Linked DNA regions of Daphnia pulex. The protein of the gene in region 1 interacts with the protein of each later gene in a pairwise test. Links are inferred from orthologs where the notes say so. Each region holds a gene or a part of one and is shown on either strand. Other genes may lie near its edges.

The links.
Region 2: the proteins of RNA helicase aquarius-like (region 1) and zinc finger protein 830-like interact in a two-hybrid assay, tested with the Homo sapiens proteins (2 studies listed by BioGRID and IntAct, with this or other methods). The link is inferred for Daphnia pulex from reciprocal best matches to the Homo sapiens genes AQR and ZNF830.

Annotation. Positions count from the first base shown.
Region 1 is NC_060021.1:10,929,913-10,935,129, reverse strand, and holds the start of RNA helicase aquarius-like, read right to left. Parts: upstream 4,017-5,217; 5' UTR 3,909-4,016; coding exon 3,810-3,908; intron 3,759-3,809; coding exon 3,501-3,758; intron 3,432-3,500; coding exon 3,225-3,431; intron 3,148-3,224; coding exon 2,970-3,147; intron 2,900-2,969; coding exon 2,721-2,899; intron 2,720-2,720; exon of another isoform or gene 2,606-2,719; coding exon of another isoform or gene 2,465-2,605; intron 2,401-2,464; coding exon of another isoform or gene 2,253-2,400; intron 2,191-2,252; coding exon of another isoform or gene 2,055-2,190; intron 1,988-2,054; coding exon of another isoform or gene 1,812-1,987; intron 1,740-1,811; coding exon of another isoform or gene 1,141-1,739; intron 1,062-1,140; coding exon of another isoform or gene 675-1,061; exon of another isoform or gene 361-674; intron 1-360. Other genes in the region: probable G-protein coupled receptor Mth-like 5, read left to right, coding at 675-1,061, 1,141-1,739, 1,812-1,987, 2,055-2,190, 2,253-2,400, 2,465-2,605; DNA-dependent metalloprotease dvc-1-like, read left to right, coding at 4,873-5,048, 5,107-5,217.
Region 2 is NC_060019.1:8,116,766-8,123,253, forward strand, and holds zinc finger protein 830-like, read right to left. Parts: upstream 4,247-6,488; 5' UTR 4,064-4,246; intron 3,111-4,063; 5' UTR 2,952-3,110; coding exon 2,373-2,951; intron 2,303-2,372; coding exon 1,982-2,302; 3' UTR 1,750-1,981; downstream 1-1,749. Other genes in the region: tetraspanin-31-like, read left to right, coding at 52-111, 169-336, 408-488, 551-772, 1,594-1,659; protein hairy-like, read right to left, coding at 5,505-6,428.

The DNA of each region.
Region 1 (5,217 bases):
AGAAACTTTTAAATTATTGATCAAAGTTTGAAAATTGCATGAACCTGCGTATAAAATCTAGACAATGCTAGCAGGATAAAACAAAAAAATTTCCACCCTTCAGGAAACTAACCGGAATATATATCGGTCCGGATTATAAGCCATCCTTCCCCTATTTCGAAATTGGAGAATAGAAGAACAACACAGAAAAAAGTGAGAAAAAAAAGAGGGGGAACGTGCCCTTCCATTTGAATTTAAGCGAAGCCTTGAAAAGGGATTGGGAGCGATAAGCGAAAAGAGAAGCGGCTGGAACACGGCACACCTGGGCGTGTTTTTCCCAAAGAGAACAAAAGCCCGTCACTTTCTACCTATTCTTATTTCCGCCGCAGGCTACAAGGTTGCTTGGTCGACCACATTTTCGATTCTGCTGTGTACCGACTATAGGCTACGCTCATTTTCATCTCCCCTGTCGTTCCGTCGTCTGTTGTTCCCTTGGACAGCGAGGGAGAGAAAAAGACAGAAAGCTTCGACACTTTGTTCAATTCACATCTGGAAACGGCCACAAATTACAACTCGGTGCTCAAAAGTGTTACATTTCAACGTAGCCAGACAGGAGGATGTCATGAGGCTGTGAAGATCTTCGAGATTGTAACGGGCTTCAAAAAGAGGAGCGGTCGCGTCGTCCTTGCGTCATCATGTCCGAGTGGACAGCTACACTGTTGCTTTTGCTGATCCATCAGTTGGCGTCATCGACAGGCTTAGAGAATCTGGAAAGTGAAGGGCCAGTCGTGGGTCACTGGATTCACGTTCAGAAATGCTGTCCAGAAGCTCACATGATGGTGGAAGTGACCAGCAGAACCACGGCCACCACCCACAGCACTGGCTCCAAGTTTGAATGTCAATTGCAAAACGATACATCTTTCCGGTGGGCACCCGATTTCCTAGACAACCATAACAACCTTCTGTCTTTTGAGGGAAGCCTGGATAAAGACAGTGCCGATTCGGATTTTAACATCACCAAATTCTGCATTCCAAACGGGCCTTGCATCTCATCCATCGTGGGTAAACCACAATGTGGACCGGTAAAGAAAAATCAAAACTACTAATTCATTCAACATTTTCATGAAAATGACATGTGTTTTCCATATACGCAAAAATTAGTTTCGAGCCTGGCCCATCTTTACATACGCCGGATTTCAGGAAGATTTACAACTAAGACCTTTCGGTGTCCTGCGTCACGTGGTGGACAAGTTGGCTGAGGTTCCTCGTCACCACGAATATCCACTTGATCAGTATTGCGTGGACGGTGTTAGACTTTTGGGATCCGTGTCACATTTCGGCCACGGATTACCAAACGGTGCCGAAAACACAAGTTCAGCACCGTTGTCGCCTCCGTCAGACGGCCCGGTCTACTACGCTCTCATCTGCGAGCCGGGCCCGTTGGATGAGAGCGACTTTTTCGAAATGTTTGTGCGAATTTTCTACCCCATCGGCTTAGGTGTCGGCCTGTTGGTATTGCTCACGCTAACCGGAATTCATCTCGTTCTCAAAGAATTACGGGATCTGAGTGGTTGCATGCTCATTAGCCTCGTCGTTTCAATGATCGTCACCATGATTAGCAACCTAATTCTCTCATCTGCCGATTCTCGACCTAGTCCGTACCTCAATTTACTTTTCTTGGAGTCGGTGGTTCATGGCTCAGACGTTGCCGTTCATTTTTGGCTCAGTGCCATCGGACACCGAGCATGGACGGCCGTCAGGTAATCTAAATGAAATTGATATCACTAATACTTCAATAAAACCAACGACTTTTTCTTTCTACAATTTGATAGATACCCACGGAAAGAAGCCATGCGACCGGAAGGAAAGCGCTACGTTTTTTATTCACTGTATTCGTGGGGTTCAGCGGTTTGTGTGACAGGTCTAGCGGTTATGGTGCACTTTTTCATTGAAGACCAGTCACACGGGACCACTTCACCTCACAGTTTCTTCACTTGGTACAGAATCGGTAAGTAGAATCGCGAAACAAGTTTTAAGCGAATTTCACATTGCTAAAAGGAAATCATTTTCTACAGGGTGGTTGGGATTAGCCCTATTCTGCTCGACTTGCGTCTTCCTTTTCCTGGTCAATATTTACGTGTACTTTGCCACTCGCTCTACTCTTAGTAATCAGACGGCCTACGGACGGACATTTCACCGCACCAAGGGATAGTAAGAAAAACCTGATCTCCTTTGAGTTAAAGAAATGTAATTAAAACATTCATTTGCATTAGCTTTCAGGCTTACACCCGTCTCTTCCTCATCATCGAAACCGTTTGGATAATCCAAACATTTTCTTGGTTACAATATCCTATTTTAGTCGGCCTACGGATCTTGGCTGACATTGTACTGCCTTTTCTAATTTTTTGGGCTGCCCTCAAAGTAAAAAGGATGGATGATAAGCACGTTAATTGGAGGCGAATCTAAATTATTTTTGATTTTACAGGGACGCCGCGTCATGCACCTTTTGAAAATACGCCTGCAAATGTCGCAATGTTGGCTTTGTCGCCGCTGCTTCCCACCGAAAACAAGAGATCGGGGACACTACTACGGCGAAGAAATGATGGCCCTCGGAACTCCGATCTAGCCTTGTTGTTTAACACTGCGTGGACGATGCTTATTCTTTCTTTTGTACGTTTACATAACTCGAGGCGCATTTAAAAAAATCGCAAATGAAATACACTGAAAGTGAAAACACTGACCTGCGAGAATAGTTTCCCTTCAGTTCGTTGATTCAACATTGACAGGTGGCAACGCGTGACCAGATGACAATCGTCCATGACGACATTGAAGAAGCGGCGAGTGGGCAGTAAAGCCTCTAAGTCAATCAGTAACTCCAAAAAACGTTCGCAATAGTGAACTGCTTCTACGTCGATGTCTCCTATACGTATCATTTTGGAATAACGCTTTAATTACAATTCTCAAAATCGTATACAATAAAAAATCTTTACCTTCCAACGGAATAGTAGCTAAAAGGGAGAGAAATTTGTGCATCAAACGCTGAAGGAATCTTCGCTCAAAATCAGCTTTAGCTTTGGAATCCTCATTCTCTTTGGAGTCTTTTTTCTGAATAACTTTCCAAAACTTTCTGAGTTTAGGAAAAGCATTGAGTTCTTGTTCTCTTCTTCCCTAAAATGTATTCAAGATATTTTTTAGTAATCTCTTGAATTGTCTGAAAAAGATGTTTTTACTGTAATCTTACTGACCTCTGGTAAACAAGTCCAAATAGACAATGAGACCAATTTCTGAACTTGATCACGGATCAGATCGATTTCAAGGCTATTGAAACAATGGTTAAAAAAGATGAGGATCATGGTTCGTTCCTTAAAACTAAGTCCCCATTTTTCATCAAGGGACATTTCCATCAGTTGTTTAAAAAGGCTCGGAAAATTTTCTGGAAGTTTTTGGAAAATCTAAAACAAAAACAACATAATAAATAATGTAAATTAACATATTATCTGAATAACAGAACTAACACACACCTGCCATGCTGATACACGTTCTCTGAATTTTTCATTAACCATGATTACTATTGATAACACATGTGACGCAGAGGAATTATCGGGTTTGTAGTTTGGCCACAAGTAATTTTCCAGATACTGGCTAAACTCAAGCATCATGATCCGGCGAATCATGAATTTTGCACCTTGAACTTCTTGGTGATAAATTTGGTCAACTATGCTGGCGTCGAAATCCATGTGATTTCCACATGTTTGTGGTGCCCAGTATTTTGATGCAACCTGAAGAAAATGTGTTAGATAGTGAAGGATTTGATGCAACAGATTTGTTACCTGTGTGATTCGATCAGAATTGATTTGATCGACTGTTAAAGGTGTTTTATTCTCATTGTTCTTGTTACTCGAACCATCGTTTCGATCTTTGCTTTCCATTTTGTAACAATATATACGTTTTAAAAATGCCTGAAACGTCAAGCAAGTTATCAGCTTGAAAAGTTGAAAACTCGGATGGCGCCTAGTTGCCACAGAAACCGGCAGCAGACGATGAAACCCAAGCGGCGGCTCTGGACACTAAACAAAGCGGTCGATTTGTTTTTTTTTTTTCGTTATGTGATTTTCAGAACAACTGAACAAGTTTTGGAATCTGTTTTACATACAAGTTTTGAAAAAAAATATTGCATATCTGCTATACATCAATATATAGTCAAATAGTAAACCAACAAACAATAAATAATTCCTTCTGAACTATTAAGCATCCGGTTGCTGTAAGCCTGTAAAGGATGTCTATCACAAAGGTTGTAACCCGTTCAACCTCAGTGATGACTCTGCTAGTTAGTCTCACGCTCCGAAGTAGTGTCATTCAGACGTACGATTAACCCCTGATTGAGTATCGTGGCCCGTTACCGTTCACTCGGCAACGCAAAGTGGCTCAATTAAGTTCCAGTATGCAGCTCAATGGAGTACGAGCGTGTACCAAGCAACCTTATAAGCCAAACAACCTTCCCCTTTGGCCTATTTCAATATATTTTCTTATTAAACTCTAAAATTAGGATTTATTAAATTTAAGTGTAAATACGACGTTGCCACCCGCCATTCTCCTTATTTTCCAAAAAAATTTCTGACTTTTTTTGAGTAATTGGTAAAGTGAAAAATAAATTTTATTTTTCAAAGAGGTGCCCAAAGGATTAAATCCTTGAATAATTATGATATCAGTAAACGTTTAAAATCTTGATGTATGGCGCCCGCTGCCTGTGTTGCCACAGAAACATTAGCAGACGAAATCAAGAACTTCAACGATTCAAAAGTTTGTAAATAGTTCCGGACTTCCGGTGACTTTGATCAGTAATTCAGTACTCCATTGGCCACTGCACATTTTGTTTTAAATCAAGAACAGTAAATGAGTTTGATAAGCAAACAGAAAAATGGAATGTATCCCAACTCTATCGTGGACGAAGAATGGGAATATTTGGATCCCACCCCCGATATTCATAGTCTGTTTCTTCAATTTGATGATCGCTTTTTTTCTAGCCAGCTAAAAAGTGTTGTGGTGAAATGGAGCCCGAGAATGACTGTGTATAGTTTGAATCAGTTCAACAACCATAGAAGTGTATTCTAATGAATTTGTTTGTAGGTGTGCTGGTTTGTGTAGGTATGAAGGAAGGAGATCTGGGCATTGCTCCATCAGCCTTAGTGTACCACTTTTGAAATTGAGACCAAGAAAGGATCTTGTTGAAACTCTTCT
Region 2 (6,488 bases), on another chromosome or scaffold:
GCTAGTCGTGTGCAGAGTTAATTCAGAAATTTCCTCAACAATTTCATAAAAATGTGTGGTGGATTTAAGTTCTCCAAAAATGCACTTATTGCTCTCAATATCCTCTACATTGTAAGTTTTATTACATCATCATGTTATGTTCAAATGGTAAAACTTTTCTTTTTTTAGTTAGTTGGGTTTATCCTAATTGGAGTAGCTACCTATGGGAAAGCTGCCAATTTGGTAACTAGCTTACCTATTATTGGTGGGATAGTAGCATGTGGCATATTTCTCTTGGTAATTGCCATAATGGGTTTGATTGGAGCTGTAAAACATCATCAAGTGCTTCTTTTCTTCGTAAGTTTATAAATTTGTTAGTATTGGTGTCTTTTGGGTATGTATAATTTTATATTATTTATACTTTTCAGTATATGGTGGTCCTTTTCATCTTGTTTGTCATCCAATTTGCCATAGCCTGTGCTTGCCTTGCTGTGAATTCAGATACTCAGGTAAATTGTAAATATCTTGTTTTCATTAACAACATATGTTAGCCTTTTTTCTCTCCCCACAGAAAACTTTAGCTGTAGCAGGTTGGAATAGTGCTGACAATGCCACTAAAACAGATGTTCAGAACGCTTTTAATTGTTGTGGATTCCACAATACCACTGATTCGGGTACCGAATGCGCGGATAAATGCCCTACTTGTCTAACGTGTGAGAGTGCACTTGAAAATATGATCAATTATGGTTTCCGTGTGTCAGGTGGAATTGGTCTATTCTTCAGCTTCACTGAGGTATTTTGAATTATGAATTATAATATTGCCTTTTCTTTTAGTTTATATATAAGTAACTCCTACATGTTTACTAACACTTAACTCAGATCTCAACATTGCTTATGTGATATGTAAATAGCATTAAGTATTCAAACGTAATATTGTAAGGAGAAACATGCTTATTTTTCACAAACGAAGGCTCCCAATGAAATTCCTTCTGAAATCGTAGTTATCATTACTTAATTGATATCGAATTAGAGGCATCATAGCTTAATTAAAATTGCATGAACTGTCGCAATACTTTGTACACCCTATTTTATTTGGGGGCTGCACATTAAACTGTTGCCGAAGTCTTAACGTAAAATAATTTTCGGCCTTCGATAGGTGGAATTAAATCTTTTTTCTTGTGTGTCATTGTCTCCATGTTGCGTTCTACAGTTCGTTGGAGTGTGGTTGACCGTACGCTATCGCAATCAGAAAGACCCAAAGGGCCACCCCGGTGCTTTTCTCTAAATTCTTCCTACGAATCCATCTGCCGTTGATCCCCCGTTTGTTCTATTCCATTTTACCGTACCCTTTTTTCTCCTTCACACTTACCATCTTTGCATAACACTCATTCCTAGGACTCAAGGTACTGGTCTCCTCCATAACTAACATGTTCATCATTTTATGGCTTATGTGTTGTTTTGCTTTGAGCTTATTGGACACGGTTCTTTGAATTCATTTTTTGTAGGTGCTTTACCGTAGCTAGGCCTAAATTTAGCGTTATTATTATTGCCTTTGTTTTCTTAAGTTTTATCTAAATTGTTAAATTTAAATAATTTTTGTTTTATTTTCTGCAGCTTGTGGGATTCTCAGTCGCATATCGCTTCAGACACATGGCTGCTGGAATGAACGAGGTGCAGTGATTTTCGAAGACATGATTGGAAACTGTGTCAAAGCGCTCCCTACACTAGAATTTTCATCAGCTCCCATTCCACAATTAATTTTTTTTTATTATTTCGTCATGTGTGCTCATCGTCCTTATTGGACTTCAGTTAGCAAAAGTTTTATGTTTTCCTTTTTTCTCGGAATGATGCAATGCCGAAGTGGTGCGGGATATGCGTAATATAATTGATGTGGCAATAGATGTTGTTCAGTTAACTGAAATACATTATAAATCTAACTATCAAATCGTGCTTTCCGGTATATTTAACATCAACATTTTGCAGGACGTTTGTGGACAAATGATCATGTAGCCTTCGATCGCCAATCAAAGAATTTGTCCATTTCAGCGTCGTCCTCGTCGCTTGAACTTGTCTCTTTCTCCTCTACCATCGATTCACGAATAGCTCGAACACGCTGGCCATACAATTCTTTCTTTTGTTCCAGCTCAAGAACTCTCCCCCACTTTATCATTTGCTCTTCAATTTCTTCCAGCTGTCTTTCAGCTGTAGATTCTTCCTGATCTTCCTCTTGGATGGCAACTGATGCTGTAACTTCATCACCAATTTCTTTCTGGAACTTGTTCCACTCTTCTTCTACAGGGTCTTTGAATTCAATTTGGCGAACCTATAAACAAATATCAAGATATTAGGTTAAATAATAAGTAGAAATAACATTAAAGTCTTTGGCATTGAACCTTGGCATCCATCTTAGGGTCATCAAAAAATCCTTCAGGTATGGCATTAGAAGAAATAGCATCTCCTGGCTGTGAAGTGGATATTTCAGTTCCACTTGGTGTTTGAGAGGACACTTCAGGTGCATCGTCAGTTTCCATGTCCTCAATTAAGGTAGGTGTTTCAATTTTGACTACATTAGAATCATACTTGGGTTTTGTTGAGTTTTTTAGGATGCTTTTTATTGGCATTGGGGCAATGAAATTAGGAGGTTGGTTATCAAAAAAATCTTTCGGAACTCCTTTCTTGGATGGTGAAGCTGAGGAACCATTAGTAGTTATTGAGTCTGCTTTCCGTTTGACAGCAGGAATAATTTGAGGCTTGGTGAACTGTGCTTCAACTTTGGGATTTTTCAAAGAAAGCACTTTTTCTCGGTGTAGTCTTCCATTGACGTGGGCAGTCCAGACCAATTCATTTTTGACAACGCTATTACACACGATGCAAGTCAGCTGTCCAGCACTGTTGTACTTAGCTAGCGGTGAATCTATTTTCTTAGCAGATCCCATTAGCTTTAAGGACGATTTTGATGAACTCGATGCCATTTCAATCTTATGTAGAGCAACAACAAAGTTTAAAAAATTCGGTTGTACAGTTATTAATTTCGTCCAATTTTGCTCTTTCAAGTTTTAATCAAAACAACAGTTGTCGACAACTGCAGAAGCACCACCTGGTGAAGGAACTTGAGCCTATCGACCTGTCATCTGGTAACCAAAAGTTGCAAATAAATTTGAAAATAATTTATCAATTTCACACTTGAGCTCAAACACGGCTATTGTTTTATTCTTCAATGCATGCCTAATCATTGTCTCCGTGTCTCTATCCTACCACATATGCAAAAAGAAAAAAACTCAAACAGACTGACAATCCAAAAATTAAGACAGCCATTGGGTAGTGTTCATGCTTCGTGGTTTGACAAGAACACTTGTCTGAGAACGAAAATATGATCAAGAATGTTACGCCAGCCAATCGCTTGAAAAAATTTTCAAATTAAAAAAGAACTATTTGATATACGTGTTTGCTCTAGATTTCCCTGTTCCACTTTCCCCGACTCACTCTTTATTAGTCCACTCAACCTTTATTACCTCTGTCCCAAAAATCCCACTTTTTTCGCCCTGTGAATAAATTTAGGAATAAATCACGAGGAATAAAGTCTTTTTACCCAAAATATAAACATATTAATTAATTTTTGATCCATATAAAAAATATTATTATTCAGCCATTTTCAGTTTTCAAGCATCAAGTTTTCAAAACATATTATTTGAGCGGTATCTGGAATGCCCATGTGCCATTCAGTAAATTAATTAATCCCAATAGCTTTATTAACATGCAAGTGTCCAGTCTGTATCTAGTTATACCTTCACCAAGCCTTTCACTTTTGTACGAGATCGTTTAACTACTGATGTTTCGATTAAATAACACACTAATGTACAGAATTCCATAAGATTTAAAATTCTTATAGATTGAGATTTCTGAATTTGGCTCGGAAAAATTGGATTGCATTTTTTACTTGAATTTGAATGGCTCAAACGTTAACGCGCATGTAAATTTTTCTTAAATCCATGAAGTCCTGTAAACAGAAAATAGTTACCAACTCCCCGACAAAATGTCGTGACCCGTGTGTCATGCTTTGTTCATTATTTAGTCGCTTACTTACGGACGTTATCAACGGTTTTCATGTCCGGTTCAGAATTTCGATGAGAATAATAGAAATGTAAAGAGAACCTTCTCCTTCTTTCTCTAACGTCCCATTTCACTAGAACTTAACTTGCCATTTTTTCATTCACATTTTCAATGAACGAGCTCAACGCTCCAGCTCATCCTCAGTCCTTTACTTTAAAGAATGGAAAAGGGACAGCTTAAGTAATCGTTTGCCACTTCCGGCATGTTGAAATCGGATATCTCGTTTGATTTCCTTATCACTCGTGGTAGATATAGTAGTCGTACGTAGATATCGCTGTATGAAGTGTACACAGGGATATTTCTCGACGTGAGGGACCTTTACTAGACCCAACGGTCATGACCTCAGAGAGGGGAAGAGATTGTTGTTATCTACGAAGATCGGGTTTCCAAATGTTCAGGAGATCGTTTATATAGAAAGCGCCTTTTGTGAACAGGCCTTTTAGCCGCACAGCTCCATCGAGCGCATCAGGTTGCTGTGCTTTTGCCGTGAGAGTAAAAAAGACGTACGTACTATATACTGCGCGAGAGAAACCTGAATAGCGAGCATCTATTTCCTCGTTCCTTACTAGGCTACTTCCATTTCCATTCTTTCATTTAAAGCAATGGTAGTGTTTAGGAGAATTATGGTTTTTCGAGAGTTGAGCACCAGAGTTATTTTAAAAATATGTTTAAAAAAATTAAGCATTAAAAGTGAATGCCAAAGGATGATTACCGTAGGCAGGAGAGTTATGTCATATATTATGTAGAAACTTCTAGTGATAACACGCTGGCCTTTTTTGTTATTTAAAGAAAAAGTCAAAATTATTCAGTACGTAAGAAAACTTGATTGTGACCTACGAATGTTATACACATTACGATTACGTTTCCTTGGCTCACTACAGAATGAATTCTGTAGATTAGATTTATTGTACAGAGTAAAGATCGACATCGTTAACCCGAGAAAGCTCAGTGCGCATTTAATAAATTCAGCTGAAATTTCTATATACAGCATCATAACTTGTTCTCCCTTATATGCGAATGTATAAGCCAGTGTAATGCCAGCGCTGACTATATAATTGAATTGTATCAATATTAATATTAGCTGTTGGCTAAGTTAGCGTAAATTAGGTTTGACTGTGCCGTCTTTCCCAGCACATCCAGCGTAAACACCATTCATGCGGAACTGCAGCTATCATTATATATCAAAATGTCCCGGAAAATTGAAAAATCACTGTTGACAGTATATCACTGCATTTCAAACTAGGACGGAATAACATGAAACTTCGTTTGAATAACATGGCATATTATTTATTATCCTCATTTATGTACAATTCATGAATCACGATTATGAGTTATTTTTGTTCGGTAAGAAAGTAAACATACAATTAAATCAAAATCAAATCAAGACACCCATTATCACGTAGTTTTACCGAGTTTTACCAAGGTCTCCATACTTTCATACGATCCGCATCCGATTTCAAGGAAGGTGATGAAATATGATCGTCATACAGGCTGATTTGATGTCGATAAATAACTTCGGGTGAATGTTGGTAGTGTTGGTTGGAAGTCAAAGAGCTGGAAGAACAATCTGATGGAAAAGCGCTGGTTGATGGGACACCACATGCAAAAAGTTCCACGATATTGGCATCGCTCGTCTTCCATTTTCTCTCGCATGACATTGAAGAAGGGACCACCTGATGATTTTCCCACTTGTTGCCTTGATTCAAGTTCTCAGCTGACAAATCAGGAGATCCGAAGAATGGAACGGACTTGAAACCGCAAGTCCAGCGAGACGGTATCACGTTGAGCGCATTGCTCGGTGAAGAATTCGGCGTTGATGTTAAATCAGCAAAGCTGTTGATTTCGTTTGAAAATGACCGTCGAGAGCACGAGTCCCGACTTTCCTCCGATGTTGAAGGTGATGAACAAATACGATTTGCAGGTGAAGAGCTGTCCATGACAAATTCGGAAGGGTCCATGTATTTTTCTTCAAACGATGTGCATGAGTCGCTTCCGAGCGAAGGTGAAAGCGATTTTCGGTTGGTCAGTAGTTCGGGAACTAAATTAGTTAAGCATCGGTCAAGATATTGGCCGACTCTTTTTTGCAGGTCTCCTTCCATTGCTTGCTGGGGTTGATTGTGTAAAACTTCTCGAACGATGCGAGCGCACTCGATGAACCCATCTTTAAACCTTGACGATTGATTAGATCTTGGCGAAAAACCATTAGGGATCGGGCAGCTAGTGCTTCCATCATTTGAATTGTCCCGCATGTTATTACGTCGTTCCTTGTGAAGCTTCTGGACGTAGTTTACAGTTAGTTCTAAAACGTCGGCCTTCTCCAGTTTAGCCGGTCGGGAACCCTGAAATTTAAAATTTTTATTTAGTTCCAGCTTCGTTTTTAATAACACTTTAAACAGTTA